Linked DNA regions of Neodiprion lecontei. The protein of the gene in region 1 binds, or shares a complex with, the protein of each later gene. Links are inferred from orthologs where the notes say so. Each region holds a gene or a part of one and is shown in the gene's direction. Other genes may lie near its edges. The genes, in order: methylcrotonoyl-CoA carboxylase subunit alpha, mitochondrial; methylcrotonoyl-CoA carboxylase beta chain, mitochondrial.

What was found.
Region 2: the proteins of methylcrotonoyl-CoA carboxylase subunit alpha, mitochondrial (region 1) and methylcrotonoyl-CoA carboxylase beta chain, mitochondrial are in contact, whole or in part, in a cryo-EM structure (PDB 8JXM), measured with the Homo sapiens proteins. The link is inferred for Neodiprion lecontei from reciprocal best matches to the Homo sapiens genes MCCC1 and MCCC2. Residues at the interface, in NP_064551.3 of Homo sapiens: Glu519, Phe526, His531, Asp532, Phe534, Ser535, Pro536, Phe537, Ser538, Ser539, Ser540, Ser541, Gly542, Arg543, Arg544, Leu545, Asn546, Ile547, Tyr549, Thr550, Arg551, Tyr568, Tyr636, Leu637, Ser641, Glu644; in NP_071415.1 of Homo sapiens: Leu56, His57, Val60, Glu61, Lys64, Asp88, Ile91, Pro93, Gly94, Ser95, Pro96, Phe97, Leu98, Glu99, Gln102, Ile123, Gly124, Arg125, Gly128, Glu130, Arg234, Trp276, Leu278, His281, His282, His285, Lys298, Lys299, Leu300, Ile304.

What each region holds. Positions count from the first base shown.
Region 1 is NC_060264.1:23,296,740-23,312,215, forward strand, and holds methylcrotonoyl-CoA carboxylase subunit alpha, mitochondrial, read left to right. Parts: upstream 1-8,050; 5' UTR 8,051-8,186; exon of another isoform or gene 8,187-8,224; intron 8,225-8,277; 5' UTR 8,278-8,545; coding exon 8,546-8,589; intron 8,590-8,673; coding exon 8,674-8,749; intron 8,750-8,875; coding exon 8,876-9,260; intron 9,261-9,329; coding exon 9,330-9,664; intron 9,665-9,757; coding exon 9,758-10,054; intron 10,055-10,116; coding exon 10,117-10,326; intron 10,327-10,395; coding exon 10,396-10,875; intron 10,876-10,977; coding exon 10,978-11,169; intron 11,170-11,250; coding exon 11,251-11,364; 3' UTR 11,365-11,557; downstream 11,558-15,476. Other genes in the region: arfGAP with SH3 domain, ANK repeat and PH domain-containing protein, read right to left, coding at 3,315-3,440; transmembrane protein 43 homolog, read right to left, coding at 4,667-4,949, 5,035-5,240, 5,322-5,622, 5,775-6,007, 6,160-6,342, 7,301-7,375; inactive ubiquitin carboxyl-terminal hydrolase MINDY-4B, read left to right, coding at 13,183-13,339, 14,697-14,782, 14,865-15,094, 15,178-15,418.
Region 2 is NC_060263.1:16,140,777-16,156,261, forward strand, and holds methylcrotonoyl-CoA carboxylase beta chain, mitochondrial, read left to right. Parts: upstream 1-5,860; 5' UTR 5,861-6,026; coding exon 6,027-6,140; intron 6,141-6,492; coding exon 6,493-6,746; intron 6,747-6,975; coding exon 6,976-7,392; intron 7,393-7,562; coding exon 7,563-7,978; intron 7,979-8,060; coding exon 8,061-8,195; intron 8,196-8,271; coding exon 8,272-8,408; intron 8,409-8,500; coding exon 8,501-8,586; intron 8,587-8,684; coding exon 8,685-8,802; 3' UTR 8,803-9,628; downstream 9,629-15,485. Other genes in the region: uncharacterized protein LOC107224007, read right to left, coding at 13,819-14,060. UniProt on the Homo sapiens protein: Carboxyltransferase subunit of the 3-methylcrotonyl-CoA carboxylase, an enzyme that catalyzes the conversion of 3-methylcrotonyl-CoA to 3-methylglutaconyl-CoA, a critical step for leucine and isovaleric acid catabolism.

The sequences.
Region 1 (15,476 bases):
GGAAGTCGGAAGAAAGCGAAGACTTCCTCGGTATGGGCGGTGAGCTCATATCGCGGACATGCAGGGTTGGTTCAAGGTCACCGGTACGCGGGACAGAATTCCGCGTGAACGCATAACATTAACATCCTTGTTTCAACTTTTTTTAATTATATGTATATCTAGAGAAAAGTATGATCACCGTTGAGATTGCAAAAAAATAAAAATAAAAATAAAACAGAATTTAGCTTTACCTTCAGCATTAACATACTATTATTATTATTGTTACTATTATTTGAAATTCTTTTTCATTAAAATTGTAAAATTTATGTTCATTGGATTAAACAGAACAATATATTTTAAGCGGAAAAAATTCCTTAGAACAAATTAATTCATCTGGTTAAACTAAGCTACATATGATTTAATTCATATTTTTCTTAAAACATTGTTTAAAGTAATTTTATCTTTCAATGTAAGGCCATCATCAAATATCAATTAATTATATCGATTCAATATTCGATTTATAGGGAGAAAAATCAAATCCATTCGACCAGTTATAATTGTTTAAATAATCCTTGGCTGTTTAAGCCATCGCGGTTTTCGACTGCGAAAGCGGCGTGAAGCTTATATTATTATATGCTGACGCAATTACTAACTAGGCAAATAACCCTGCGATGAATGTAATACAACATGTATATATACGTACATGTATAGGTATGCATGTCATTGATACGTAAATTACAGGCTCAAACAGAAAATTTCGAAATGTATCGTTATCATCGAGCTCTCAATAGATTACTATTATAATTATTAATATATCATTTAACTCCAAAGATTGTCCTGATGTTTGCATACCACATATTGCTATACCGTTGACAAAAGTTTGCAAGAAAAAAATTTTTTCAACAATACGCCACAAGACACTGCAGCATCTACCGAACATACTGCATATTGCGAAAACGACCGAGTGCAGTAACGACTCGTATATTAGGGGTGGGTAATGAATGACCAAGTGAAATAATTCATATAATATTCTAATTTACGAGGGAAGGCTTAAGTGTGCGCTACACTATTGTCTAAATGGCATATACTATTAGTAAATATAGGCAAAATTACTCTATCGAATGATCGACCGAGCGGAAGAACGGACACGCAGGTAGGCGTGTAACTTATCGATTCCTCCCGACCGCGACCTTGCGTAACTTTTACATTCCGCAGTTACGCCCGCGGTATATATATATGTGTGTGTGTGTGTATATGTATATATGTATATACATATACATACATGACACTGTTATTATAGTTCTTATATCACCTTCGTCGCCATGCATCAACATCTGCAGGTCAAACAAGTCCCGTCGGGTGTGAGTTGGGTGCAAGCGACGTGTGTACAGATAGTAAGTAAGTGGAGGGTGAGAGGAAGGGGGCACGTAACAGCTGATTGTCAGCGGGAAGCAGACACAGCGGTTTACATCCGTCCTACCGCTTTATTCACCGCAGCCGCGGCACGCCGCGTATATCCGTAATCTAATTATAAACGAATACACGGAAAAATTTGTAAACATTATCGCTAAGTGATGAAAAATTTCAGCAGTTTCTGATAGTATACTAACAGGTTTTTAATATTCGAGAGTACTTAATTATAGCGCTATAATGAAAATTGAAGGTACAATTCATTTCCGTAAAACATGTTTTACATAAATTATAAGTGTTTGGGGTCGCTGATTACAAATTTGAAATCAGATTTTGAAAATTTACTATGGCGGATGCGATCAGCGACACCGAAAATCGTAGATTACTATCTTGTTACAAAAATTGACCTGGCATAATAATGTGTGACTCAGAGGGTTAACGTATCAAATTTTGCTAACCAGTTTCATGTATTATAGCGAAGAAAGGTTTGGTATACGAAAGGAAAAATGCAAACGGTTAAAATATATACCTCATAGCCGCCACGTCTGCATGACCCAGTTAAGAATGCCTACATATTGTTCTGTATTAACTATTTCGTGGTTTTAGGTACATGGCTAGCGGGCACGTAGGCGATGCAGGTGCGTCGGCATCGTCGGCTAACGAGCGATTACTAATCACCGCTCTGACGAGCAACGGTTACTTTGATTTAACTAAATAAGTAAGATGAGGCTCTCTCGAGATTCTAATCTTGCAACACTGAAATTGGAGCAACATTTAGACACGCAATCTGCTTGAAATCCTTTGTAACATGCGAAAACTTGCGCGGTTTGTACGTTAAAAAAAAAAAAATGTAAAGTAAAGGGAAAAAATCTACGATACATCATCTCTTTCGTGGTTAGAAAGGCACGGGAAAATGGATGAGGGGTTCCACCGGAGGTTTAGCCCTCGGCACGTTCTTCGCCAATTACTTATGCCTGCCTATACGTACGTATGAATACCCAGCGAGACAGAAGAACTCGTTCGACCCGAAGGGCTGCTGCCGCTGCTTGGGGGGGGGGGATAGTCATATAGGAAAGAGGGAGAAGAGCTAACCGTTCAACGCAAGCACGGAGAATCTAACATCGAAGGGAGCCGCCCCGGCATTTCCTGCTAACAAAGATGACATCATAGCACCCTTCTTAATACTGACAATAAATAGCAGAAGGCTATTACCGCGGTGTCTGCTTTAAAATCAGCACACGTGCGATTAGTTGTTATCATCACACGTCGCTGGGTTCCGCACACCGTACAACCATGCCTAGCGATACCTGCTTTAACAGCAACCAAAAATATTGCAAACATACTCCGCCGTTTACATGTGTTGTTATTTCATTATTTGATAGATATCAAAGACAATTGAGAAAAGTCTCAGAGGTAGAATATCGTTGCATCGTATAGCTAGATGTGTATCTGGCAGTCGTGCCGTATCTACCCTTCCTCTCCCCCCTGCCGCTAACGTGCAACCGTGCATTTTACTTACCCTGCACACACATGAATGCAAGTACGGCCTTAATTCTCAACTGTCTCATGCACATGTGTGGGCACGGATATCGATATCGTGGGTTGAGAATAACCTATGACGGATATGTACGTGAATACAGCAGTGACAGTGGGGGCGGGTAAATGCATCGGTGTGAAATAATAATGACCGTACTTACGTGATAGATATTTGCTAATGTATGTACTGCGCGAGCAGGCGAAGCAAAGCGACGAATGATTAATGATCGTCCAACGAGTGGACTGGTAACGGATGTCAAGAGGAAGCGGCAGAGGACGAATTAAGATCGGTATAATCATGTGCGCATTTCGGTGTGTGTATGAGAATAAAGGCATACATCACGACGACAATAAAATTAAGAGGACAGATAAAAACGATGAGAACTTACTTCCTCCAGCGATGTGATGGTCTGCCTGCACTGAGGCATACGCGAGACGAAGGTGGAGGTGGTCGGGGAGTTGTAGTCCTCCTTGGTCTCCTCGACGAACTCGCCGACCGCAATGAGCCCTGGCATATTTGGCGCGTGCGATGTCGTCGTCGCGACGCTTTACCAGGCCGGCGGCACCGAAACGGACACTCTTCGCGTCTGCGATTAGGAAAAATCCGAAAACACAGCCAACTACGTTGACTCCACGACAGGTCGCGAAAGTCGAGAAACTGTCAGATCGTCACACGCACTGCTCACTTCACATACACTCACTGACGTCTCTGTATCGCGAATCGGGCGGACAACTTAACCCCTGAATCTGATCGGGGCCGTTCATTTTCTTTCCTCAGCTGCGCGTCGTTCGGCAATGATTGCGCTTTCTATAGCCGCTCCCGTCTAAGGGCGAGCATGACACTTCGACTCACTTGCGAATCACCACCGACTCTACCGCGGACGCATCTTTTTTAGCCAGGGCTCTATACATGCGCTGTCTGGGCAGCCCTGGACCTTATAGCGAGCGACAGCAACGATGCACGTACCTTGGGTTTATTGTTACTGATTCCTCCTCTCTTCGCTGCCGCAGTGCCGCCTACCACCTCCAATCGGCGGCCATAACTGCCGCACTACTTTTACCCTACCCAGTGTTCCTTGCGCGAATTACTGTACCCAATCTTTTTCTAGATTGCCCTGCCACCTACGGTGTTTCACGCGCGCAAATCCGACTCGGCCGGCAACAAGATTTCTACCTCTATCCCAAACTATGCCCGTATCGATGTGTCAGTTGACCATGCCGGTACTGCAGAATGCATGCACTGTTGAATTTTTCTGGCGCGCCAACTTCCACAAGATTGGCTCTGTTTATTGTAAATGGCATGTGGTCGGCCTGAAAAAATGGGATTCAAAGGAAAATAGGGGGATATTAGTCATCAAAAAATATGTCACAAATTGAGCCATTGATCTAATGTATCGATTTGTTTAATCTACATGTTAAGTTTTCAATCAAAATGTCTTTATTAAAAGTTATGTAGATTGGCGAGATTGTATTTACAGCTCACATACTCAGAATTGAAATTTTTTACTTCCTACTAAATAAGTCAAGTTTGTAATGAACAAAAGATATTATAAACAACTCCGAGAAGGAATAATTATTACCTGGAAAATAAAAATGTTGAATGATGTGACTAGACTCAATACCATAAACATTTGCGCAGGTGTATCATGCATGCATGTGTAGCATGCAGATCTTTAAACGCATAGAGGGTAGACAGCGAATGATGGAATGTTTTTGACACATAGACAGCGTGCGTTTGCAGTCATAGTCTTCGATAGTTGTCTCGTTGTTGACCCCGATTTTCCGAGAAGATGGTTGAATAGAGAAATGGTACGACGGAAGCCAGCGCCAGACACAAGCCGACAATGGGTCTGTACCATACCCAGGCAAAACCAATGACCAATAAACTGATGGACATGGAGACAGATATGTTTACAGATTCAATAGCAATCACGCCGCATAAAAATGTTGAATTCAAGACGAGCGTGCGTATTATGTTTGCCAAACATGTAGCAGCGAGAAACAGCACTAGCCAACCCAGACCTCTGCAAGTGATGAAATCATGACTCAGTAAGTCGTAATTATCGTACCAGAGCGTTTATCATTTTCAGACAAATTTGCCAGTCCAACCTTATAGCCCAGGTGCGCCAATAGTTGTGCACATGTTCTAGGTGAAACATCTGATCCACGGATATCACGTCCTTTCTTTGTATTAAGATTTCTTCGCCATGCGAGGTCGTATAGGGAACGATAGTTCCATCTACCTGCATGCCGATAATTGAATAGATGTCATCGCCCTTGCCAGCGTACGAAAATTGTATTCTGATATCTCCGACCTGATTGATGATAATTAGAAAGGATTAGTAGAAGTAGAAATAATGCAAGAGCTGTAATAACGGAAAGCAGTGATTTCAAACCTGAGGATTCCATAAGTCATTACTGTGATAGTAGAGGCCAGAGTGCAATTTGATGTCTCTACGCTCCGGCCTCTCATCGCTAGTAATCTCAACAAAGTGATTGAATTTCTTTTTTAACTCTTCACCAAGAGTCAAGGCTCCAATCTTAACCTCATTGGCAATTTGTATCTGACTCCGCACAGGCATGATTTTGGGATTATGGTGACCAGTTCTGATATCGAATGAATCTGAATCCACAAGCTTGTCCTTCCATTCTGTCGTATAATAGTAGTGCTTTTCATCTTCGGTAACACCTCCAAAACTGCACAGGGTGAAATCGGACACAATGGAAATGAATCAGTTTATTTCTAACTGGGTGATAGAAGTTGTAGATTGTAGTAAAGTAAAAATTTCAAACCGTGAGAAAACAGTATGAAACGAAACAGATGAAGTACAATTCAAGATTTACCTCACCTACGTTCCTCTTCAATTTCGATCCATTGATACATCTGTACCCTTCTCTTCAGCTTTACGCTGGCCATAACGATTCCATAATCAGGTTCAGTGAGCGGTTCAAGCACTCTCAGTGGCCCCGAAAAATGAACAAGTCTGTGCTGATGCTCAGGTAGCACATGGTTCACACTGGACAGCGGCACAATGTTACGCAGCGCCTCATTCAGCGAATGTGCTGTTCTAACCGCACGGCCCTAAGGACAAGCAGCAAGGAGTAAACAGGGAATTGCATGTTCTCTGAAAGCAGACTGTTCCTATAACAAGCTAGGCCAATGGGGATTTCATAATTGCAAAGGTCTTTGGTACAGCCGTCGAACAATGTGTCAGTCAAAGTCTAGTGCAATACCTCGTTCCAAAATAGCAGGCACATCCCAGCTGCGAATAGAACTGACCCAATAATGGCGGTCAGCCAAGATTCCTTGAACTGTTCGGCAACGGTCATCGGTGTGTGAGTGGGTCCAGCTTGTTTGAAACCGGCCGATCTATCGCGGTATGCGTTATCAACATTGCCTCTACGAGGCTGCCCATTCTGAAACGAAGTCCAAACAATGTGAAAATTAGGATTACGTTAGGTTAAGTTAGGTTAAATTCTACAGAGAATAAACAAGGTTGAGGCCGGTCGGATGACACGCGAACTTACGTTTGTCCGATACATCCCACCTGTGACAACAATCACCATAAACTACGCCTGACTCGGCGTTTGTATTCACGTACAACAACACGGTGTTCATGTAATCTGGGACATCAACTTAAAAAAACATTCTCCAACAGGCGACTGCCGGATACTCTGGGTAAACCCATCTATACATGGAGGTAGCATCCCCATTTTCGCATGCGTGACCGTGTAAAGGAAATACCGGTATATTGTCTCTCTCGCTCTGCGCCGTGATTGGCTTAGCGTGCTTTCTCAACCAATCACGGACGCAGGGCGACAGAGGTAGAGTTACTGGACCCTGATTTTGACTTGTTTTTCACTTGACGGAAAATTCTCATGAGTGAAATACACGGTTGTACGTGAAATATAAATCAGACTCAGGCCCCATATTGCCCTTACCGTATAAGCTCGATGAGTAAACATAAAACGACGAGGGAACGACTGATGCCGCCACAAATCCTCAATTTCCTTAACAATTTCTGCAATTTTAGCACAAAGCGGAAAGAAAATGAAATGAAAATAGAAAAGCGAGGTTAAGACTTACAATTCGGAAATACAAATGACAATGTCACTGAACTGGCCTGAACTGCGGTCGCCTCGTCACGAAACCTTTCACAGTCACGATAGTTGATAAATGTTCATGTACTCGGAGGCGGAGATTTTTATTGCTCTGGAATTCTCTGATAACTTCTTCTAAGTCTTAGGGGTTAGAAATGGTAAGAATACAATCGAGCGGCGAAAAACTGACGCTTAATTTACAGCATATGTTAGGACGCTTGTCCCAATTTCGGCATCGCTAATCCGTTTACTCGAATGTTTTTCAAACAGTCACCTCCATTGTGCCGAGGCTGTGCCAAACAATTAGCTGTTGAGAACGCGGGATTCGATGTATTCGCTGAAGAGGCATCGTCAAGTCTCAGGGGAAACAACATCAGGACTGGCATCGAGCTAATCACTGGGATGGCTGTGAGTAATTGCTATAACACTGAGGCAACGATTCACCAGAGTGCTTTAATAGAAACGTGTGAAAAATATGAAGAACTAATCAGTACCTATGGTTAACTTTTTGGGGTCAGAAAATCGACATGCTAGCACCAAAAGTCTGCATGAAACTTTTTCCAATAACTGTATGGTTGGCCTTCAATTTTTGATTCTAAAATGGGCTGACGATCGATCACAGGTTTCACATACTGACGGACTCCCCAGAAGATTGTGCACAGAATGCAATGACAAGCTGGAAGCGTTCATGGCCTTTCGAACACAGCTGTTAACGTCTCTCAGACTCTTTCTAAGCTCTAGAGATAGTCGAGCTCCTACCGGAACCGAACATCCGTTGGAAATATCATTACCCCCGTTACCTGTGCCAATACTCAATCAAGAAGGAATCGGACTATCTCATGTTAGGGAGAATACATATGTAACGTTAGAGTCAAATAGTTTTGTTAGGTATAGCAGTAGTCAGACAGAGCATTATGTGAAAGTGAAGAGAGCAAATGTGGCCGAACGGGACGACGAATCCGAGATTGATGTGTGCTCAGGGGATGACGATGAAGTTCTCGAACTAGATTTTCAGAGCAAAAAGGATGAAATCTATGAGATTGATAGTTCTGAGGAGTCGGACATACAAGTCTGTGACTACGAACCAAACAGGTTATGAGCTTGTCTTATCACCAAGCTGTAAATGTTGCTCAAGAGAAAAAGCTTCAGGATTTTCTTTGGTATATCACAACAAACTAAAATAATTAAAAGTAAGCTTTCATTAAGCAGAAGAATTCGATGATAAGAATTAACTCTTAAAACGATTCACAGTCACTCTATACGTCCCTGAACGATGTGGCTGCATAAGTTAAAAACAGCTTACGGAATACATGGCTTTGTTGACGCAACTCATTATCTTATCTCAATATTCATGACGACGCTATTACGAGACCGTTTGTACGTGTCAGCAAAAAAGAAATGGTTTGATAAGAAATCGTCTTGATTGAGTGGTTGGTAAAAATTGCGTCCACCTTACACCGAAAATTGACCAAGGAAAAACGCATTTTTTAATACGAGAATTTACAGCTATCACCAAGTCATGTACACCCTGTTGCTGCGGTCGGTCTGGCCTGTTCATAAAACGTAAGGAGTACCCGTTTGTCGATAAGATAAGATCAAATATATTCGTCTACACATGCATGTGTCTTGATCGTGCTATATTTACAGGCCCTGGCATATAACCTCGTGGATCGATCGGGAATTTTCATTATCGACCGTACACAATGGAAAAAGGCTTGGGAAGGTATATGCACACAATATCTATACGTATAATATGTACAATGCATAATTTAGATATCAAATTTTAGCAAATCTCTGATGAAATTATAAAACGCAGCTAATTCTGAGCGATTTTATTTCCCGCGCGCAGATCCTCATCGCAAATCGCGGCGAAATCGCTTGCCGAATTGCAAGAACCGCTCGTAAACTTGGGGTAAAAACGGTGGCGGTATACAGCGACGCGGACCAGGAGGCCATGCACGTCCGTTTGGCTGACGAGGCCTACAACATTGGACCCGCGGCTTCGACCGAAAGTTACCTGAAGCAGGATAGTATAATTGAGGCTGCCAAGAAGTCCAAGTCCCAGGCGATACACCCCGGCTATGGATTTTTATCGGAGAATACTGAATTCGCCGAGCTCTGTCAGAGCGAGGGGATCACCTTCATCGGGCCCCCGGCGAGCGCGATCAGGGACATGGGGATAAAGAACACCTCCAAGGCCATTATGGCCGCGGCCGGCGTACCTGTAGTTCCAGGTCCGTAACTCCGCTACCTGCGGCGGTCCTATTTTCGTCATAAGAAAAAAAAATATTCTCTCTACGCAGGTTATCACGGAGAGGATCAATCCAACGACAGATTGATGGCAGAGGCAAGACTTGTCGGTTTTCCACTGATGATTAAGGCGGTGCGAGGAGGTGGAGGCAAAGGAATGCGCATAGCTTTTGAAGAAGGAGATTTTTTCACGGCATTGGAGGCGGCTCGAACCGAATCGGCAAAATCGTTCGGCGACTCGGCCGTGTTGTTAGAGAAATATGTTTCCGAACCCCGGCACGTCGAAGTTCAGGTATTCGCTGATCAGCACGGAAACGCTGTCCACCTGTTCGAAAGAGACTGTTCGGTTCAAAGGAGACATCAAAAAATCATTGAGGAGGCCCCCGCGGTTTGTTAATGCTACATGTATAATGTATATTTATACATTACCACGTGATCCTGATAATCAACGTTATTTTCTGCAATTTTTCAAAACTTACAGCCGGGAATTTCGCCCGAGTTGCGGTCGGAGCTAGGTGCAGCCGCCGTCCGGGCGGCAAAGGCCGTTAAATACGTGGGAGCCGGGACAGTGGAATTTATTCTCGATCGTTACACTCACAGTTTTCATTTCATGGAGATGAACACGCGGCTCCAGGTTGAGCATCCCGTTACCGAAGCAATTACCGGCACTGACCTCGTCGAGTGGCAGCTCACAGTGGCTGCCGGAGAGAAGTTGCCGCTTACTCAGGAAGAGATAAAGTTGGCGGGACACGCTTTCGAGGCGAGAATATACGCCGAGGTTGGTTTTCATCGTTGTATTTCGCAATACCTCGCGAATGACTAGTGAATCCTGCGTTACAGGATCCGAATAACGGGTTTCTACCTGGTGCCGGTCCCCTGTTACATCTAACGACCCCGGAGATGTCGGCTGACGTCCGAGTCGAGACGGGGGTGCGGCAGGGTGATCAGGTTTCCGTGCACTACGATCCGATGATAGCGAAACTGGTCGTTTGGGGGAAGGACAGGAGCGAGGCGATCGGGAAACTCGGAGCGAAACTCGCGGAATACAATGTGAGTAATGTTTGTCCGCGCCTAAGCGGGGGAAAAACGTTTAAAAATACATTGCGATGTTTATTGTAGATCGTCGGCGTGGAAACAAACGTGCAATTCATCATGGACCTCGCTAGCCATCCGAAATTTGCCAGCGGTGATGTTCACACCGGCTTTATAGAGGAGAACCACGCAACTCTTTTTCCGAAAATCGAAATCACCAACGAGATACTGACCCAAGGAGCATTAGCCATGATCCTAGAAGAGAGTTTGCCCTCCTTGAACGATGCTAGCTTTACCCCGTTCGCAACAAACGTCGGCCTCAGACTGAACCACGCGCTTGAGCGTAAATTTCAATTTCTCTTCAAAGATAAGGAATTTGTGGTTAACGCAAGGTACCTTCGACCAGGTGTGTTTAACATGAGAACGAATGATACGGGCCCCTGGAGAAACGTGAGCGGTTCGTTGATAAGAAGGAACAATGTTCTCGAATTATTATCGGAAATCGACGGCGTAATAACCCGCGCTAGGATCGTTAATAACAATGGAGAGCTTTATTTATTTACGAACGTACGTAATATTCTATATTTAATTTTCAGTATTGTTCCCTACATCTACAGTGAAGCCCCATTGGCAAAAGATGAAAATGAACACGTGAATTTTGTTTCAAAGGAGCGCAAGTGGCAGCTGACGATACCGCCGCCGAAGTTCGTCACCGCTGTATCGTCGATCAGCGGTCAGCAGCGAGCGGTTGGTTCTGCGATGAGCCCAATGCCCGGTGTCGTCGACAAGATTTTCGTTCAGCGAGGTGATATTGTTAAAAAGGGCGATCCTCTCCTGGTGATCGTTGCCATGAAAATGGAGGTGAGTATGCCACGATTTGCTTTTCTTTCTCTTCGAGAGCTCTTGAAACTTTATAACACGCATTATTTTTTTTCGCCTCAGCACGCGATCAAGGCCGCCTGCGACGGACTTGTCGAGGAGGTCCTTTGCACTGCTGGCGAGAATGTTGCCAAGAATAAACTTCTCGTTAGGATGAAGGAGGAGGAATCAGTCTAGCTTCTGTTGCCGTACAGGGCGGAAAGTTTAATGATACTTGATACGATTGGAATCGTCGAATCTTCCTTTTTTAACTAATTTTTAATTTTTTATAATACCCATAAGGCCAGTTCTCTGGATTTGTTAATGGTTGTTTACAATGCTAGATATTTTTAACGAATAAATGTACATAATACTCCTCATACGCAAAGAATCGATTGTATGTCCGTAGCTATATACGACGGAACCTGTCTAGTTCATATCTCCCCTTCTCCTTATATATCTTGGTCGTATGCCGAAAAACTGTAAAAGTTATTTGCGGGGGTAATCAATCTCGGGGCGACTTCGTGGCACGTAATTAACGATCGCTCAACGTAATCGATCATTTCTTTAGCGGGTTAAGGTGGACTGGCGGGTCCGTGTGTTCGATGCATCATAGTATCACACGCATCTATTTACACTAGACTTACGTTAGTTTTTGCCGGTGTACATACGCACGTATGTACATACATCAACGTGTCGTGTAGTGCACACAGAGACCATTCCCGACTATTGTATTTCGCACCTGGCACTAGTTCCCTCTCTATTACCGGGATGTATTAACGAACACGGTTGTATACAGAGTACAGGCATGAACCCGATAGCGTGCCGCGAAATACCACGAAATAGATCTCCAGCGGCGCGAAACCCCCGGCACGTTCTCTCGCAAACTTAGAACAACTTTCTTCCTCGGCCAATGAGAGTATATGACTGTAGGATAGGTGTAAGGTATACCAAAAGTTTCAGGGGCAGTTCAGCCGGGCGAGCGTGCCATGAAATCCAAAGAGAATTTCGAAAGCGGCGGTTAAGGAGTTTAATAATAACGTTCGCAGAAAATATGCGAAACGCGAAACAAATTCTCATCAACGTGTTCACTCAACATCGCCATTCTCATAAATATCTTTCGCGATATACGGTTCGGTGGAATAAGGCTAGATATACCTATCGATCAGAGTTGCAACGCGGATTGATTGTGAGCCTGAAAACTTATTGGAATCGACTGATGGAACGAAGGGTCGACGCTTCTTCGTTCCCACCTATTCACACACCCACACACTGACAACAGGGTGTCGAGGTGTGCGAGGAGAGGCGGGTTGAAAATTTCGGAGTGTTTAGGGTAGGTGGTAACAATTACCGCCTTACACTACCCCCATCCGAGGAGCACAACCAGCGTAGCGGCTGCCTGTCAGTCAACAATTCTGCGCCCTGCTCGTCGGTGCGGACGACCTGCACGTCCCGAGTAACGGAGCCCCTGAAACTTCGTTATTGTCTTGCGGGACGGAGGGAAAAACGCTGAGGTGAAAATTCCACTGACTCTGCAGTCACCGCAGCAGGTTCAATTCTTAATCAAAAGTCACACCGACCATTTATTACACGTACTACGTTCACCGATACACGTCTACTTACAATAATAACCCGTATCCGGTAGGATGTAGCATTATATACATAAACATACGTATATTCAGTGATTCGCGTGATAGTTTGACTCATGCATATAACTTTATCTATTTGTAATTTCGCAACTTTTCGGGATTAAATCGTGTGTATGTCGGTGTATGTTATACCTGACGGAATGGGGTCGGTTGTACAAGGAAGAGGAAGACACTTTAAATTGCGGGGAGTTTATTTCAACAACTTTAGGAATTAGTCTTCTTTTTGCCGATTTCACTCATTAAATCGAATATCACGTACACAAGTGTAACTTCGTAGTCACCTTCTCTCTATAGACAATGTATCGAACAATTATAGCCATTGGACCCGAACATACCTACACAATACCTGGGCAATTTTTATAGTTACATGTCCTGTCGAACAGGCATGAGTGGAGATCGACAGACGACGAGTCAACGAGTACAGCGTATCGAAAGCCGGGGAATCCCCGAAAGAATCGCAGCGGTGCGTCTTATGCAGCAACGAGACGTCAACACGGAGAAGCCAACTTACCTCAGAGACAGAGGTAGGTGCAAATCGCGAATGCTATACCGTGAATACGGCCCTTTCTTGCAACAAAATATAATTTGCAATTGAGCAGGTGTACGTATGATAATTTAAACAGCACGTGCCGTCAGTGGGAGGTGATAAACAATGCCGTCTGGTGTTTATGACGCTTGGCTGCGCGACAAGCGACTGTGTCGTCTCCCTAGGGAATAACCGATTATTCCTGTAATAAAGAATGGAAAATAATTCGAGCGTGAGAATATGTTATAAACCGTTTTGCTATCTTGTCACTAATTTCTGGTTGTTAGGTATAAATTGGTTGCCTCTGCAGTACGAGCTGCGCGGTAATTCTGAGTAGATAAATCGCCGTGTTTCAGCTTACGTGAAATTCAGCAGAGATCGCTTATGTCGTATAAAAAAGTGTTTAAAAGGCCTTGGCGAGCTATAGGCAATGCTATTTGCACGAACGTATGAGGTGCGCTGCGATATGATCCAAAAATAGCTTGTACCCGGCGATGGGTCTTCGCGATAAGATCCTTTACCGTCGAATTTTCGAACAATCTCATCGAGCGCAGGCGGTAAGTTCCAACGAACAGTTCTACATGCATTACCGCATCGTTCGATCAGATTCTGATTTATGACCGTCGGCTAACACGCTACGGGACTCGCGAGGATCGACTTTAATCCCATATGCAACAGTGGATCGGTCAACCGATTAGGGTATTTTAGGTATGAAGCTATCGCAGCGCGCGAAAGTTTTGCTGAAATTCGAACGCGAGAGGGAATGTTTTGCACGTTGAAGAAACTCCCGTTGCACGTGCCTATGGCTATATAATTGGTTACAACAGTGTATCGCATAACGATGGTTCGGGAAGATGTTAGTGGGTCATGTCGGAAAACCCTGGCGAACTGACATTGCGAGAAACCAACTTTGTCTGCAGATATATGAGCAGGAGTAGGGGGAGGGAAACGGAGCCAAGACATCGGTGTGCAGGCGCATCGGATACCGCGGAATTTTTGACGTCTCGCGATGATGTTCGGTTGGTATAAAACCACGACCATCCTCCACTCCGATTACAATCGCGGCGGTATCTCTAATCCGGCCGGAACGATTCTTACGGAGTGAAGCAAATACGCGCTCGGATTTTTTTCACGATTATTCAGGCATGCGGCCTGCACCTACGAATATCCTGCAGGTACACATTCACCTCGTTTGCTAGTATTGGAAACATGCTGCTATTCACCCGCACCGCGAGGTGCGCCGAGCTGATGTCCGAGCCCGACGAGCTACAGCTAGCAGGTCTGGGTTTTATCGCCAGTTTTTAATTACTCGGTTTCACTAGCTGCTTCACGAGCCTTCTTTTCCTCATTTTCAGAGCGGGTGTTGTATCCGAGAAGCACCAAGACCCTGGCTAAGGTGCCGGTGATCGGAGGAACCCCGATAAGCGAGGAGACGTGCACGGTGGGTATGATGTACAACGTAACACCGAACACCTACCCAACTAACGTATAGCAGATTATTCTCGGGTTTTTCTGCAATGCAGGCATTACGGCAGTTGGTTTTCGGCTCCTGCGCCAGTCCGCCAAGGAGCGAATGGACTAGGACAGGTTTGACCCTGAGGCCAGGGGGGCAAAGTCTTGCCTTCGGTTTGAGGGCGGCGAGGAACTCGACTCGGAGTTTGGTCACAGCGGTACAGGCAGTGATGCTGAAGCACTTTCTCTTCAGGACTAACAAGATTGTCACCAGTTTCGCGAGACCAGCATCCCCGGAAGCGTGAGCGCAGTATAACAACAGTATTAATGATTGCCCGGGAATGAATCCGATATAATAGCATAGAAATTTGGCTTCTGTTGCAGTCTACTGAAGCCGAACCACGAGCGGCAAGTCGAAGTCCTGAGCTTGTCGATCGCTGAAGTTATATGGAGGTGTGGAGGCGGCGACGCCAAGCCCAGCAACGCCGCGACTGCTGTCAATCTCGCTTCTACAGGCGGCGCGTCCTCCGGCGTCTTTGTGCCCAAGGCCGTTGTTGTTCTGCCACAGGAGACGCCCTACGTTCAGCATAGCGTGCAATACTTTCAGGACGGGATTACCGAAACGGTATGGTGTTTACGCGTACAGTAGTCGGATTTTTTTATCTTCTCGAATTTTCGAACTC
Region 2 (15,485 bases), on another chromosome or scaffold:
AGTTCCCTTGATAGCGATTTTCGCGATATTGATTATTTCTAGGATAACCTTGTTGATTAGGGGAGTTCGACCTCCGATTACTGTAATTGTCTTGGTTACTAAAATTCGGAGGTCCCTGTTATCGATTGGGACGATTTTCTCTTGAATCGTAACCGGGTTGCGGTTGGTAATTTATTTGACGATTTTGATGTTTCGGAAATTGATTTCTCGAGTTAGTATTATTTTGCAGTTGGTAGGTGTTCGAGTTACGTCGAGGATCCGAATAAGCATCTCTTGAATTATAATTATTCCGATAGTCTGCTCGATTACCTTGGATAACATAAATTTGATTCCGAGGTTTACGGTGATCGTAATAGCTTTTATCTGAATTATATTAGCAATCGTATTTATCGTGGTCGTTTGCTCCACATACAACGCAATTATATGGTTGAAACATCGTATAATTTATCGTAGCGTCTTGAATTGTGCTAGGTTGATCTCCTCGTCTAAGTTGGATTTTAATTTTCTCCTGTTTTTCTATTTTCATCGCTGCGTCGACCAGTTCTTTTAGAGTACCGGGTACTGTGGGGATTTTTCCGTCGATTTCGGGTCTTAATCCGCGCAGAAAAGCGGCTTTGCCGTCCGCTTCGGTATTTCGCGTAAAAATTTCGAAATCATCTTTACGTTGCTCTTGCAAGAATGCCTATCTTGTATTTTCCATCGCTTCGCGTACCCTTGATGCGTACGTCGCGACGTCTTCATTCTGTCTTTGGAAAATTTTCCGTAGTTCACCCTGACACAGATTAACGGATTTGGCTGGTCCATAAAGCTCATTTATTCGCGCGGTTAATTCGTCTACGGTATCGAACCGTTCGTTCTCGATCACACGTGGAGCTACTCCCTTGATTTTATTACGTATTATTCGCGCGAGGCTTAATTCGACTTGAGGCGGAACCATTTCGCGTGCATCCTTGCATCCCTGCACAAAACTTCTAACCTGGGACGGATTGCCGTCAAACACCGTGACTGCCTCTAAGGCATCCTTAATTGAGATATAATGATAAGTCGGTGCGGGTGAGGCGGTTGCGCCTGTACTTGCAACGGGTTCGCTTACCATTTTAAATTCCTGAGGAATCTTGATATGTGTTTGGGATTGGTTTTCCGAATCAGGCGTTTGAATAAGTATTTGAGTGGGTTTTTCTGTTTTTCTCGAGTTCTTCGGAGAATTTTTATTCGTTGGATTAGAATTTTCGTTGGAGATTCGTGACTGTTCGGGAGTTAGACTTGAGTTTCCCGACGCGTTCGTCTCCTCTAAATTTTCTAATTGTCCTTCAAATAATTGGGTGCCCTGCGTACTAACTTGTGATCTGAGTCGTCGGTCTGAAGGCGGAGTATGTACTACGGCTGGGCGTTTTTTATCGATAGGAGGGTCTTCCTTTCCCATTTAATGTTGGGATTGCACAACCGGATTTATTTGCTTATAACTGGGTTGGAACTGGGGATTAATTGTTCGGGATTCGTATAATAGCGACAATTCCGGGGACTGCTGAGATGGGAGAGAGACAGGACAGGTTTGATAGCGGGGAGCTTGAGAGTAATAAAAAAAAATATTTTTGACTCGTTTTTATGGATATGGATAACGAGTTGGGGTGCTGTGATGTTCTGAAAAATTCTCCTTATTTTATGGGTTCCCCGATCAATAACCGATGCGTATGTGATGACTGAGTTTGAATTTTTGTTAATAAGGTTTATTTTAACTTTTAGATTCCGTGTCGGAGGAAAAGGAGGTAGAAATCGTTGGAAGTTTGAACGGGAGGTATTCAGAAATAATTTTTGCCTTTTTCCTAATCTTTGCGTCTTCTTCGCTAATCGTTCTGGGTCGCGTTGGGGGCTCGAACAGCTTATTTCTTTCTTCTATTCGTTCTTCTGTATCTCCCGTGTAATAGCAAATATCTTCAGAAGTTCCGATGGTATGGTTAGAATTCTGCGGTTTATTGAGATAAGGCTCCTTTACAGAGTCCGGGATTTCGTGCGGATCGTTTAATATAATCGGCTGAGTATATTGTTCCCAAAGCTTCACTACGGTTTCGCGTTTTCCTCCGTTTATTTCGTTCGATTTTGGGAGCATTCGTTATGAGAACAAAGGGTATTCGTCAGGGGTTTCGATTAAAGGTTGGAATCTTGGTTCGACAGAGTATTTCGATAAAAACGAGGGATCTCAGTGATACAAGATCCCAGTAGGTGCGATATTGAAGAAATATTTGAATGGAAAATTTCCAGAGCGGATGGAAAAATTCTTGACTGACTCATTGATTTTTAGAATTTTGGCGAGTTAACGGGTATTAAAATTTAGGTTTGTTGAGTTATTTTATTAAATCGAGCGAGATTAGGATGATTTTCAGTTCGTGTCGGTAGTGCGCAAAAATTTCCGCCGTCCGTCGATCGCTACTCGCGTCACAAAAGTTTTTTCGCGATTATAACGTTTGGTTTCGCGGCCGATGCACCAAAAAATTTTATATGTGACGTCGGAACGGTACCTGGTGGAAATTTCCAGATATTAGACACCGGAATCATTCACACAGCTACAGTCAGACTCACATCAGTAGTTTGGGTCACCAATTACCGATAAAGTATTGAAATACACCGGACAACGGGCATTCTGTCGCTCTAATCTAACGAACCGAGGAAGGAGTAATTATTGGATAAAAGATTTAATTAATTGGCTTACCTCTTGAGAATACTCTGGATATGATGACTTGTAGCGTAGATTGGTGAGAGCATTTAACGGAATAACTGATTCTAATATATTCGGATACTTTGATTAACTTGGATTTATTTTATAAGTTCAATATTTCAAGTCACAAAAACGGAGTTACTTAGTGTAAGATCTTAAATTAATATGACAAAATGGAGCTGAAAGCTAGCTGGACTTTTGGGCAGAGTAACGTTGTATGAAAAGTTTAAATGCAAAAGGCAAAAGGATTTCAGAATAGAATAGAATAGAATAGAACGAATTTTATTACACTAGGGTAGCGAACCCAACAGTATAAATTAATAGCCCAATAACAAAGAAATACAAAATTTTAAACTTAAAAAATAAACTTAAATCTAATGTACTTAAAAATTAACTTAAATCTAATGTATAAGCGAGTAAGTTAAGTAAGTAAGTAAAAAAAAAGAAAACTGAGAAAGGAAATAAAAGAAAAGAACAGAAAAGAACGGAAAAGAAAAAAGAAAAGAAAGCTAATGAGCTTGAATGATATGCTCAAAAACCAGAGCCTTAAAGGTTCCGATTGACGTTGCGTCACGTATAGCGGGAGGGAGAGAATTCCAGAATCTAGTGGCCGAGACCAACGTAGATTTCTGGTATGCCGAAGTCCTGCATGACGGTACGGCGAGGTCGGAGGGGGGTGCTCGGGACGGCTGAGCCCGCGTGGATTCGACGGAGCGTAGTTTCAATTGGGCCGCGAAGCATGGAGGAACACCCAACTTCAGGGCGCGGAACACAAAAAGACCGAGGAAATAGTGCCGGCGTTGGGGGACCTTAAGCCATTTAAGTTGCTCATAGTAGGGCGTAATATGTTCGCATTTGCGCACGTTAAAAACGAAGCGAACGCAGGCATTAAGAGCTCGTTGTAGGCGGATATCTTCATCAACCGTAATGTCCAACAGGAGGAGTGAGCAATAGTCAAATATTGGAAAAATCAGCGCCGATACGAGAAGCCGTCTTAGACTATAAGTGAGTGCCTGACCATTATTAGCCTTCAGTTGGTACAGCGTTTTATATACGCGGTTTAAAATGCTTGTGACTTGATCTCGCCAGTTGAGAGATGGCGTGATTGTAATGCCTAAGTTTTCAATGACATCGACAAACGGGATGTGAGAACCCTGCACATTTATTTCTGGAAGCTGGGCTGGTCGCAGCGTGTTAATAATTCGAGCCGAACCTAAGAGCATCGCTTGCGTTTTGGCCGGATTCAAGCGCAAAAGGTTTTGATCTGCCCAGCCACAGATTCGAGCAATATCCTCATTAATACGAGCGACGCATTCGTCAATTCGACCGGGAGAGCAATGAGCAAATATTTGCAGATCGTCTGCATATTTAACGATCGAGCAGTGCTTAACGACATTGTTGACATCGGTTGCATATAGGGAGAATAGCACAATTTTACCGCGAGACTGTACCGGAACAAGATGACGAATCTGGTCGTAGAAACCAAGTGGACGATCGGATGATCGGTCGCCGTTTTTATAGGGGTCGATCGTTGCGCAGAACGATCCCCTTCTTTAGATTTTGTCACCTTTTGCGCACCTCCCTCTTTTTCTAGGAATTCTAATCAGGACACGACATCTTCGCCGCATGCACGCCTGTGATCTTAGTTCATTAGCTATTACTATATTGCAAGTTTTGACATATGGTATAACGCTGCACCGGTGCGGTGGTGTAGATGCGGGGTCGTTGTTCTGTAATTTTCCATTCTGCGTGGACTTTGTTGTTGGGGCGCAAGCCCCCCTTGGCCCCTCGGCTACTGTGCTTCTTCCCGCCGTCTCGTGCTTTCGGCAGCTATTTCCTAATATGGTAATCGCAGTGCGGATGCGCTAGTGGTGACTCATGTTTTATGTTAGTGCCGTGTGAATTTCCGGGCTCACGATGCGCTTAATTCTAGTTCCTGTTTACTTCCTAATATTCTTACTATCCTGTTCGTTACAAAGTCTATATGTCATATTGGTTACTCGTCGTTTGTTAGTTTTATAGCGTGTATCTATATGAAATTACATATGTATTATAATTGATTACTGTCGTTATTCACCTGGATTATAATAGCGATTGTTTATGAGACATAGTTGCTGTTTGCTTAACATTATTAGAATCGCGCTGCTGCGAATATTCTTAGGTGTTTGTGTTATAATTATCTTAACAAATTTAGGGTATTTAACAATTTGATAATCCATAGTTTTAGAGCAGGTTTACATGTGTGCTTTCGTATATAATTCTCTTCTGTAATTATTAATTCTTATATTGATATAAATCGGCTTGGAAGCTTCTAGAACGTTTTTCTTATGTTTGTTGGTTGCCTGTCATTGGGCGTTGCCACGTATGCATCTTTGAGTTTATTGCGAGTTGATTTACCTTCAATCGTTTCGTCGGTAAGTTTCCTAATGTGTTCTCTAGATGAAGCTCTGTATGGCTCCACATTGGAGATCTGCATTGCCTTCAAAACGTTGCGCGTGTTGCCTACAATACGGCGTTACGGAGGAAGGTACAGTTCATGCTGGATAATTAGTATTCACGGTTTTGAAGGTTTTGCAGTCTCTGGTTTTATGGATTATTGCAGCAGTGCTATCTTTACATTATATTGGTTATACATTTATCTATGGTTTTACAATCTTCCGTACTCCAGGTTATATGGTATAGCGTAAGTCGCTTATAGTATAGCTCTCAGCTCCGAATGCACAAATGGCATTGTCGAGTGCTATATAATAATTGGATATAATCGTGTTAGTTAATTATGGTGTTAATATGATAGTGATATGTAATAACGTATAATAATATTATAGCTCTTTGTAGTGCGAAGATCTCGTAACATGGTTTTTGAGCTTTGGTTAGTGAATGTCATAGTTATTTCCATCTAGGGATATTCCAAATAGTTGGACAGTTGTTTTAATTCCTTATGGTTACAAGATTCTCGTACTTCGAGTTTGGTTAGTTGATAAAAGTAACATGCAGTAATAATAGTCGATAAAACATACGGACGTTCCGGTCGGATGTTACAATAGCAAGAAAACTAAAAAACAGATGAAAAACAACGAAACGAATCTCTCTAGAACAGCGGTCGTGTCTCTAATCCACAGTGGAGAAACACGGAACTAATTTTGAGGAATTCAAACGAACGTCACCTACCATCCGGGAATTGCAACATACAAGTGAACCGCGTCATTTGACTGATAATGATAAGAATGCGTAAAAAGAAACGACGAGCGACGAATATCAGTGTGTGGCGGACATTTGGTCGAGTAACGTAAGTCATTGCGCTAAGAAAAAACAAATGTTCCGTAAAAATAGCTGTATCGTCACGCGCTTGAGATTTTTGTCAAGAAAATATCACAATGAGGCGTCGATTATTGGCAGCGAACAAGACACCAGTTCCCCGGTGTATCAGGTCAGTGATTGAACATCAGCGTTCGTTCGGTATCGTAAATTATATATGTTTACCCGGCATTATGCATAACGTGACTGTTATCTACCAAGCTTTCGCAACTCACCTCTGATTTGAATATCTTATTTGTACTGTTCGAATTTAAGTCCAACGTTCTGAACTCTTCGTACAAGAGAGTTTTAATTTATTATTTAGTTAATATTATCAAAAACCGGTTGTCACTTTTTCAAACTTCATAAGGATTATCATTGACATATGTAACCGATTCTTAACAAATTGGATCTCAAATAATGAAATAAATCCTTGAACGTTGTCTACAACTAGGTGGCATTTAACGCCAATTTCAAAATTACAGGAAAACTACAGCCAGATGAAAATCCTTGTTGATCAGCTGCGGGCCACTGTAGAAAAAGTAGTTCAAGGCGGAGGCGAAAAGGCAAGATCCCGTCATGTTAAGCTTGGGAAATTGTTGCCGAGGGAAAGGATCGACACTCTCCTCGATAAGGATTCCGCATTTCTAGAACTATCCCAGCTGGCCGGTTATCAAATGTATGGAAAAGACGAAGTCCCAGCGGGTGGACTTATCACAGGAATTGGAAAAATAGAAGGGTAAACTCATACTCCTTTCTTAGCTTGCGTAAAACTGCTTCGAGATTGTCTCAAGCTTTGCAATAATTTAAATTTTTCAATTTACAATACCAATTAATCTACTAGATTTAAATTTTTTAATTTTGTTACTCATAAGTTACACCTTTCCATCTTGGAGAATTCACACACCTGAATGAAAATAATTGAATATGTACAAAATTTGGAAAATTCTATCGTGGTCTTGTTGCAGACGAAACTGTGTTATAATTGCGAATGATGCGACGGTCAAGGGTGGTTCATACTATCCGATAACTGTGAAGAAGCATTTGCGTGCCCAGGAAATAGCACAAGACAACGAGTTGCCATGTATCTACTTGGTGGACAGTGGAGGGGCGAACTTGCCGCATCAGGCGGAGGTATTTCCAGACAGGGATCACTTTGGTAGATTCTTTTACAACCAAGCTAACATGAGCGCTCGTGGTATAGCTCAAATCGCAGTTGTAATGGGAAGCTGCACTGCCGGCGGAGCCTACATCCCTGCCATGTCCGATGAGAATATAATCAGCAAAAATGGCACTATTTTCTTGGCAGGACCTCCACTCGTCAAAGCCTCAACTGGGGAAGACGTTACCGCAGAAAATCTGGGAGGAGCAGATCTGCACTGTCGGTATGATTGAGAAAGGTTTTGTAACATAGGCGTAATTCTTCTTGTAAAACATTGATGAGATCTACATCGAAATGAACGTGTCTTTGTATGATGGAAAAACTATTTGTCGCTTGTCATAGAATTAAATACCGTACTGCATGTTATTAATATAGCTTGACAATTGTTTTCAGAACTTCTGGGGTTACTGACCACTATGCAATTGACGATCCTCACGCTTTGTACTTGGCTCGACGCATGGTGAAGAATTTGAATCGTCAAAAATGTTCAACTATCCCGATTGAGAAGGATACTTCCGCACCTCTTTACCCAGCTGAGGAAATCTATGGTATCGTTGGAGCTAATTTGAAGCGACCTTACGACGTTAGGGAAGTTATAGCGCGGATAGTTGATGGCTCAGAGTTTGACGAATTCAAGGAACAGTATGGAGAAACTTTGGTCACCGGGTTTGCCAGACTGCATGGCTGCCCAATAGGAATTGTTGCTAACAATGGTATACTGTTCTCTGAAAGCGCACTTAAAGGTGCTCATTTTGTGCAGCTGTGCGCGCAGAGAAAGATACCCCTGATATTTCTCCAGAATATTACTGGTACGTGTTCAGAGTACCTATGTTTATTCAATTTTAATTCAAAAGGTTCACTTTTTTGCTTTTGTTATATCGCATTGCGTAGGTTTTATGGTCGGAAAAGACGCCGAATCCGGCGGCATAGCCAAAAACGGTGCGAAAATGGTAACTGCAGTGGCATGTGCTCAAGTTCCCAAGATCACCTTGATCATAGGAGGATCGTACGGTGCTGGAAATTATGGTAAGCTGTTCTTTTTCGTTTGTGGATAAATCTAAAACTAAAGAATCTAAAACTAAAAAGAAAACTGTAATTTTAGGTATGTGCGGTCGGGCTTTTGCTCCAAGGTTTATGTATTCCTGGCCTAATGCTAGGATATCTGTAATGGGCGGAGAACAGGCAGCTGGAGTTTTGGTTCAAATTACAAAAAATCAGCGAGTTCGAGAGGGAAAGCAAGTTAGTGTATAATTTGGTTCACAAGTTTGTTTTCAATTTTTCTTGGTCTTGTGTTTCTAAAGGACATCACATTTACATTGGCTTTTTTTCAGTGGACCCAAGAGGAGGAAGACAAGTTAAAGAATCCGATAATTGAACAGTTTGAGGCTGAAGGCAATCCCTACTATTCCAGCGCCAGGTTAATTTTCAATTAGTTTCTCTAAGAATGAGACCAAAATTGTTCGAGCTTACTGAACTTTAGTCAATGTAATTAACTCCATGTTTATTTCTAATTAGACTCTGGGATGACGGAGTGATTGATCCAGTTGATACTCGCGCGGTACTGGCATTGAGTTTGGCAGCAGCATTAAATACGCCGATTTTAGACAGCACCTTCGGCGTTTTCCGAATGTAAATCGACGCGGAACGATGTACTTACTGTCAATTATTTTAATTGTGAAAAGTTTTTTTATACGTTTATAACATGTATGGATCTATAGCCTTCGACAGGAATCATGTAACATAGACATATTTTTCCAAAGAATCGGCAGTTGGGGTAAGGAAATAAGAGATACGTATATTTACAAGAGTAAATGCTTTTATGTATGTATGAAAATAAAATAAAGAAATGGCATGAATTCTACGAATTTACTACAGTGAAACTTCATAATAGCGGACAACTTCGGGGCTGAAAATTTTGTCAGTTATTGAGGAGTATCCGTTATTCAGAACAACATCAACGTTTAAATTGTGTTACTGGAAATTTTTAGCCTATCCGTTGTAAAGAGGAATTCATTATTGGGAGGTGTCCGTTAAGAGAAGTTTCACTATATTGCCATTTCGTAAAATCTATACCATTTCTTTATTCCTGCATCGAATGAAAACATACTTGAGTGCCTTTGTTTAAAGTTGCGTATACAATGGGGCTGTTAAGTCCTTTGTCGCTTTTGAGGTACATGGAATTTGATATTTAGAGATTTATACGTTAACTTCGAAATTGACAAAGGCCCCCCCTTAAACAGGGTATTTTGTGTGGGCATAACCTGCAACCTTTCTCCCCTATTAAAAGAGGAGTTCCTTTTATTTCTTATCAATTTAAATTCTTTCAATCAAGGACCTAGACTATTCACACTGAGGTTGCAAGAACTATCGGCTCTCGCAAAACCACAGATGTAACACTATATGTATATGATCTAGTATTTTTCATGTAATAATCATGTAATAAATTATTTGCTGAATTATTTCATAATTCTTTCAATAGGGTTGGTCACTGGGCAATCCTGAGCAAGGTACTTCCAGTTTGAACATCCGCTCAGTTATGTGTTCAATTAATATTCAGTGACTCATTTAAATATTGAAGAAAAAACAATTATAAATTACATTTATTCATTATTTATAATACGTTTAATTTCATCTCAACATTAGTCAAACATGTGTATTTTATTTTTATGTCTTTCAAAAAGCAAGGGTAGGAAAAAACTATTCAATTATCTAATTTTTTAATATGCTTTTCCGCACTCTTCTGTTTGAAAAGTCTGACTGAAATTTTCCGCATTTCGAATAATTTTGTTGATAATACCTGAAATACCGATACGCGCGGCAGTCAATCAATTAGTAATTATTATCGCGTCAAGATAGCGCTCGTGTAAAGTTTGAATCAATTTTTGGCGGGATAAGCTATTAATATGAGTTTAGCCGACAAACCATCGATATAATATAATTAATGAACTTCGTTTACAGTTCGTCTCTAGATAATTGTAGTGCAGTTACAATTGCTTGAGAGTGAACCAATTTAAAAAAAAATAAAAAAAATAGTAAAAAATTCTACATGAATTTATTGAAAATATTGAACGTTATACATATCGGTTAGATATATGTAGAGTTTTTAATTATTTTCTTTAAAAAAATTAGTTCACTATCAAACAATTCTAACTGGACTACAATCATCTAAAGACGAACTGCAAACGATTTCATTAATTATATTATATTATATTGATGGCTTGTCAGCTAAACTCATGTTAATAAATAAGCTACCCTTCCGGGAAAAACAATTGGTGAGCGATCGTTCCGCCATTTTGGCGATTTGATGCCAATGGTCGAATCCCAATCTTGTGCGGTACGGAAGTAATCGTGTGTTTGTGTGTGTTGTGAGTTTGTCGGTTCCAAATAGCGGAAAGTTAGCAGATCAGAAATGGAAGTGTATTTAATTACGTGGGGTAATTCTCATAACGTGATCGTTGAAACGTGCGAGTCGCCCAGCCTGTCGATTCGGTCTTCGCCAAGTGGGTTCACTTGTAACCAAAATTTAAGTTACAATCGGTCTCGAACGTTCTCTGAGTCCAGTTTTATCTGAAATATTTAGGTAGCATTTCCTGTAGCATCCGATCATGCAAGACCGTGTTCGGCAGCACTTTACGGCAGAATTGGGTACGACGCATGCTGCCGCAACCTGGGCAGAAATGCACGGGCTGGCTCCCAAATATACTTCGACTTCTGACAAACAGATGGCGATTCAAAGGTTCTTCCTTGTAACTTTGTCGTGAGTGCACAAGCTATAATGTGATTCGTATTATTGCGTACAGAGGGACTCTAATTAAAACTAGCATCTGATATCAGAATTTAGTGGTTTTCGCTACATCATTTTTCACTTCTTCACAGATAGTGGATTCCGTGGGACCTGAGTCTCGAGCTGGAGTGTCTCGTCAGGTATTTCTCGTTCGACCCTCTACTATTCGCAGATAATCGATTCTGCTCTCCTCTGGGTTCATTAATGTGTTTTTATTTTAAATTAATTAAGTTCCTATGACTGCGGAAATGGATAGATAGCGTAAATAGACATAATTAAGTCCGTGGACACAATAAGGTTGAATTTCAAAATGGCCGCCGGTAGAAACAGAAATAGAGGCATAGACTTGCAGAGATAGACTCCACGGTCTGTGCACCGAGCTGAAGCCGTAATTAGAAAGAGAGGGCAACAGCTGGAGTCGGATCTCTCACTCTAATCGGTGACTTGGCGGGGGAAACACGTAGACTATTATAAGTACACCTCCCCGCTTGCCTTATTGCTTTCCCCGCCTGGCGGCTGCTCCCCACTCTTTCAATCGTGCAACAGAAAGGTCCGGTTTCAGCTGTGCTCCCTCTTTCTAATTAAGGCTTCAGCTTGATTCACAGACCGCGCAGTCTGTTTCTGTAATATAAGTTCATGTTCACTACGCATCGGTCACTTCGTCTACTACGTTGGTAATATTTTTACAAAGTTGATTACGCCTATAAACAAATAAGGCGAGTTGGAATCGTTGAGCAGGTCATTTATAGAACTCTCGGTATATACGAATACATCTTACTGTTGATTTTTATTGAAGCAACTTGTTATTTTTTACATCTGATATGTAATAATTATATAGACGTATCACTAATCGATGATACGTACTAAATGATATTATTATTGTATATAGTACGTTGGTTAGCTCCGTGTTCATATAGTTTCACGGCGTAATATTATGTAGCTTCAACTCTTCGTCGTTCTACGACTAGCTGTTTGGCTATTCCTTCAAAATTCTCCGTTTGCAAAAGCCAGTTTTATCCCTTTTATAGTTTTTATTGTTATTATTATTAATATTGTCATTTCAGACATGTCATTTCCCATATACCTAGCTATCTATAACTATACGAGTAGTTACATTACACAGTTTAATTTTCATTTTCATTATTATTCGATTCTAATTTTTTCTTATCATTACGTATATAATACCCTTAGGAAACAATCAATTGGCAGTTACATAACGGAGAAATTATATATATATATTATATTGTCGTCGTTGTATTTCATACAACAACAATATATCGGATAATTATTTCTTTTTTTTTTTTTTTATAAGAATAATAATTATTATTCTTACTTCTCCATGATCGCGCATTTCATAAGTCATTCATTTTGTTTTTTCAATTATTTGTCTTTCTAAATTTGGGCATACCCTGTACAACAATAATTATCGAATAAATATTTTTTTTATTCGACATAATAAATATTCGGTATCGCGATTTGTATAAACTTATACAGGTATACACTCAAAACGATCGTTGTTAATATACCGCTATTTATTCGTTGCGCTTCGTTTCTGTATTGTGTTGCGTTACCTACATATTATTAATGCGCGTTTATTAACTTATACACATACCGTCGTTTATACAATCAGAGACGACGGACTTTTACTATCCTGATATTTTAAAGAAATTACTTTCAATTACGTATTACAGTTTGTGAATTTAACACATCAATATTATCGATTCTTATTGGGAAAATAATGATAACAATGCACGATCCTACCTCGTTATTATCATCATCATTATTATTATTATTATTATTATCAATATTATTATTATCATTGTCATTATTATTATTATTATCATTGTCATTATTATTATTATTATTTCACTTTCTCTCTGGCCTATTGTTAGTAGCAGTTGTTTAGCTGCACGAGGATTTCATTAATGAGCTTTAATAGGTTCGGTATTGTAAGTATTCAATTGTTATTATTTATACGTATCGTTATTATGTAAAACGAAATTATTAATTAATTAAATATATATTTATATTGTATATAAGTATAATAATATATTAGTATCACATGAAATTGTCCCACGGTTGACGATGAAATATTTTGTTTCTATCTTTCGTTAATTACATATCGTTTAACTTTCCTTTTTTCTCTACTACGCTATTAATTCCGAAATTTTAGAAACATCCGCTATTCGATTTTTGAAAACGTACCGTATGCGTAATTTAATAATCTCTCAATGTAAAAATCGATCTAGTCCAAGTGCATATGAATAAATGCATACCGATTTAGAAGAAAAAAAAATTTGTCTTCAAAATTCATTTATCTTGCATCGAGAAAGCGTGGGACAAATCAAATTTTGATTCCAAGAAAGACTCGCGCGCGGTTTCATTCTTTCGTTTCCTTCGTAAAAAAATATAATGTTCAATAATAAAGAGTGTATAAAAACGTCTGTACGCAGAGTATAAGATGGAAATAAAAAAATCGTAAAATATATAGGATGCATTAAATTGCAGTGCGCGCTGTAATGAAAAAAAAAAAGTTTCCATGACGCGTCGGTAATTGTTATTACTGTTATTATTATTATTATTATTGTTATTATTATTTGAACGCGCAGGAAATTTGCAATTAGTAGAACTTGATTAAAAAAAGATAAGAATATTAAATACCGTAAACAGATAAATTCTACGCGTACGGCAGAATATCGTTATGATTCGGGATTTTCTTTTTTACTTTTTCAATTAGAATGTTCAATTTGTTCTGTCTAATTTCCGCTTAAATTTTTTCCTCTTACGCTTCACGTGAAACATTTTATCGTTTCGGGGATCTTCTCCTTATATTTATCGTTTATGACAGCTACTCCCGCGAATTGATCAGATTAATGTATAGAATACGACGAGTAAAATACTAGCTAATTTCAAATATCCCGTCGCGGTAATTGAGAAAGCGGCGTTCACCGTCGCCACAGTCTCCATTTCCACAACCTTGTATTTATACTGTTCGCGAATCTCGTTTTTTGGATGTACAGCTGCAGCCGATTCCGCCGATCCGGGCCTTTCCGCTGTTTCTTCGGAGGCGGTAACGTTGTTACCTTTCAAAACAAACGCCAGCAATGCTGTAAGAGAAACAAAAATTACGGCACGATTAATAAGAAAACAATTTTTCAGTACGGTACGTGCGACCGTTTTTTTTTTATTCCCTTCGATTTCTCTTCAAATCTATTTCAAAGCAATATCGTATTTTATTTCTCATACGTTATACGAGGAATATCCATGGCTAAAATATACGTAAAAATATTCTTGTCTCGCGTTGATAAGATCATTAAAAAAAGGTCATGTAGTTCGGGATTATTAACGGTACTCGTAATATATATATATATATTATATATATATGCGTATAAATGAATCAAGTTTTGGAACGATCGGTGTAATGAATTCTCGGCGGTGACTATAATTATAATAATGATAGACCGCATTACGATAGACATGATGTATATATGTCGATCTGTACCGTATACATGTGTATACCTATACGCCGTTCGAAATTTAGTACCTCATTAGTCATTATTGCCGCTCAGCCGATATACTCACTATAACTTGTTTGGTGCTCTGACATTATACCCTCGGGGTGTTTTTTTTTTTTTTTTATTCATTTTTTGCGCGTCTTTGGGAGGTTCGTTTTATTACATTTGATGCCAGTTAGACAATCCGCGAAGAAAAAAACGAAGATCCACTGCCAAATAGATAGAATCTGGTAGTGTATAATATAATATACGTGTATATCAAGCATATGTGCTACGGACCTCAAAGGCAGATATACGTGATCGGTATCGTACAAGCGTATGCCTGATGTTATTAATATGTATTTATACCTACATGTTGTTGCTTCCTTTCATTATTTTTCTATGATTAGTTTTCTTATTGCTTGTATCATTGTTCTTTACTTCGTCTTAATTGTACATTCATATACGGGACATTCCAAAAGGAGAAAATCAGTCGAGTCTCAGTTTCATATTTTGGATTTCAAAATTGCGTTACGTATAAATATCGGTTTTTAATTTTTCAATATCATCTGGCAGATGAAGATAATAATAACTGGGCAAAATTTTAGGAATACATCTTTATACAACTTTTCAATTGATTTCTCGAAAAGTTTTGAGTGTAATAGCGTATGAGATCAGAATTAATGTCGTTATTTTGAAACGAATATTATCGCATTTTTAAGCTAAATCTTGTACAAACTCTCGATTTCAAATATTTCGATCGATATTTTGTAAAAAGGTCAAGCCCATTGGCACAAAAATTTCGCTCCCCAATAACTAACTGTTCGTAAAACTAAAAAAATATCTGAGACCTGACTGATTTTCTTTATTTCGAAGTGTCCGATACACACATATTTAAAGTACGAGTCGTTTCACCTGTATAAACGAGACGTACATATTATATTAGAATCTAAACTCATTGTTTTGTTATAACGCTACACGAACCGTTGATAAATTTTCACGTTCTTTTTACTATTAGTAAAATAATTGTGTTTTCTT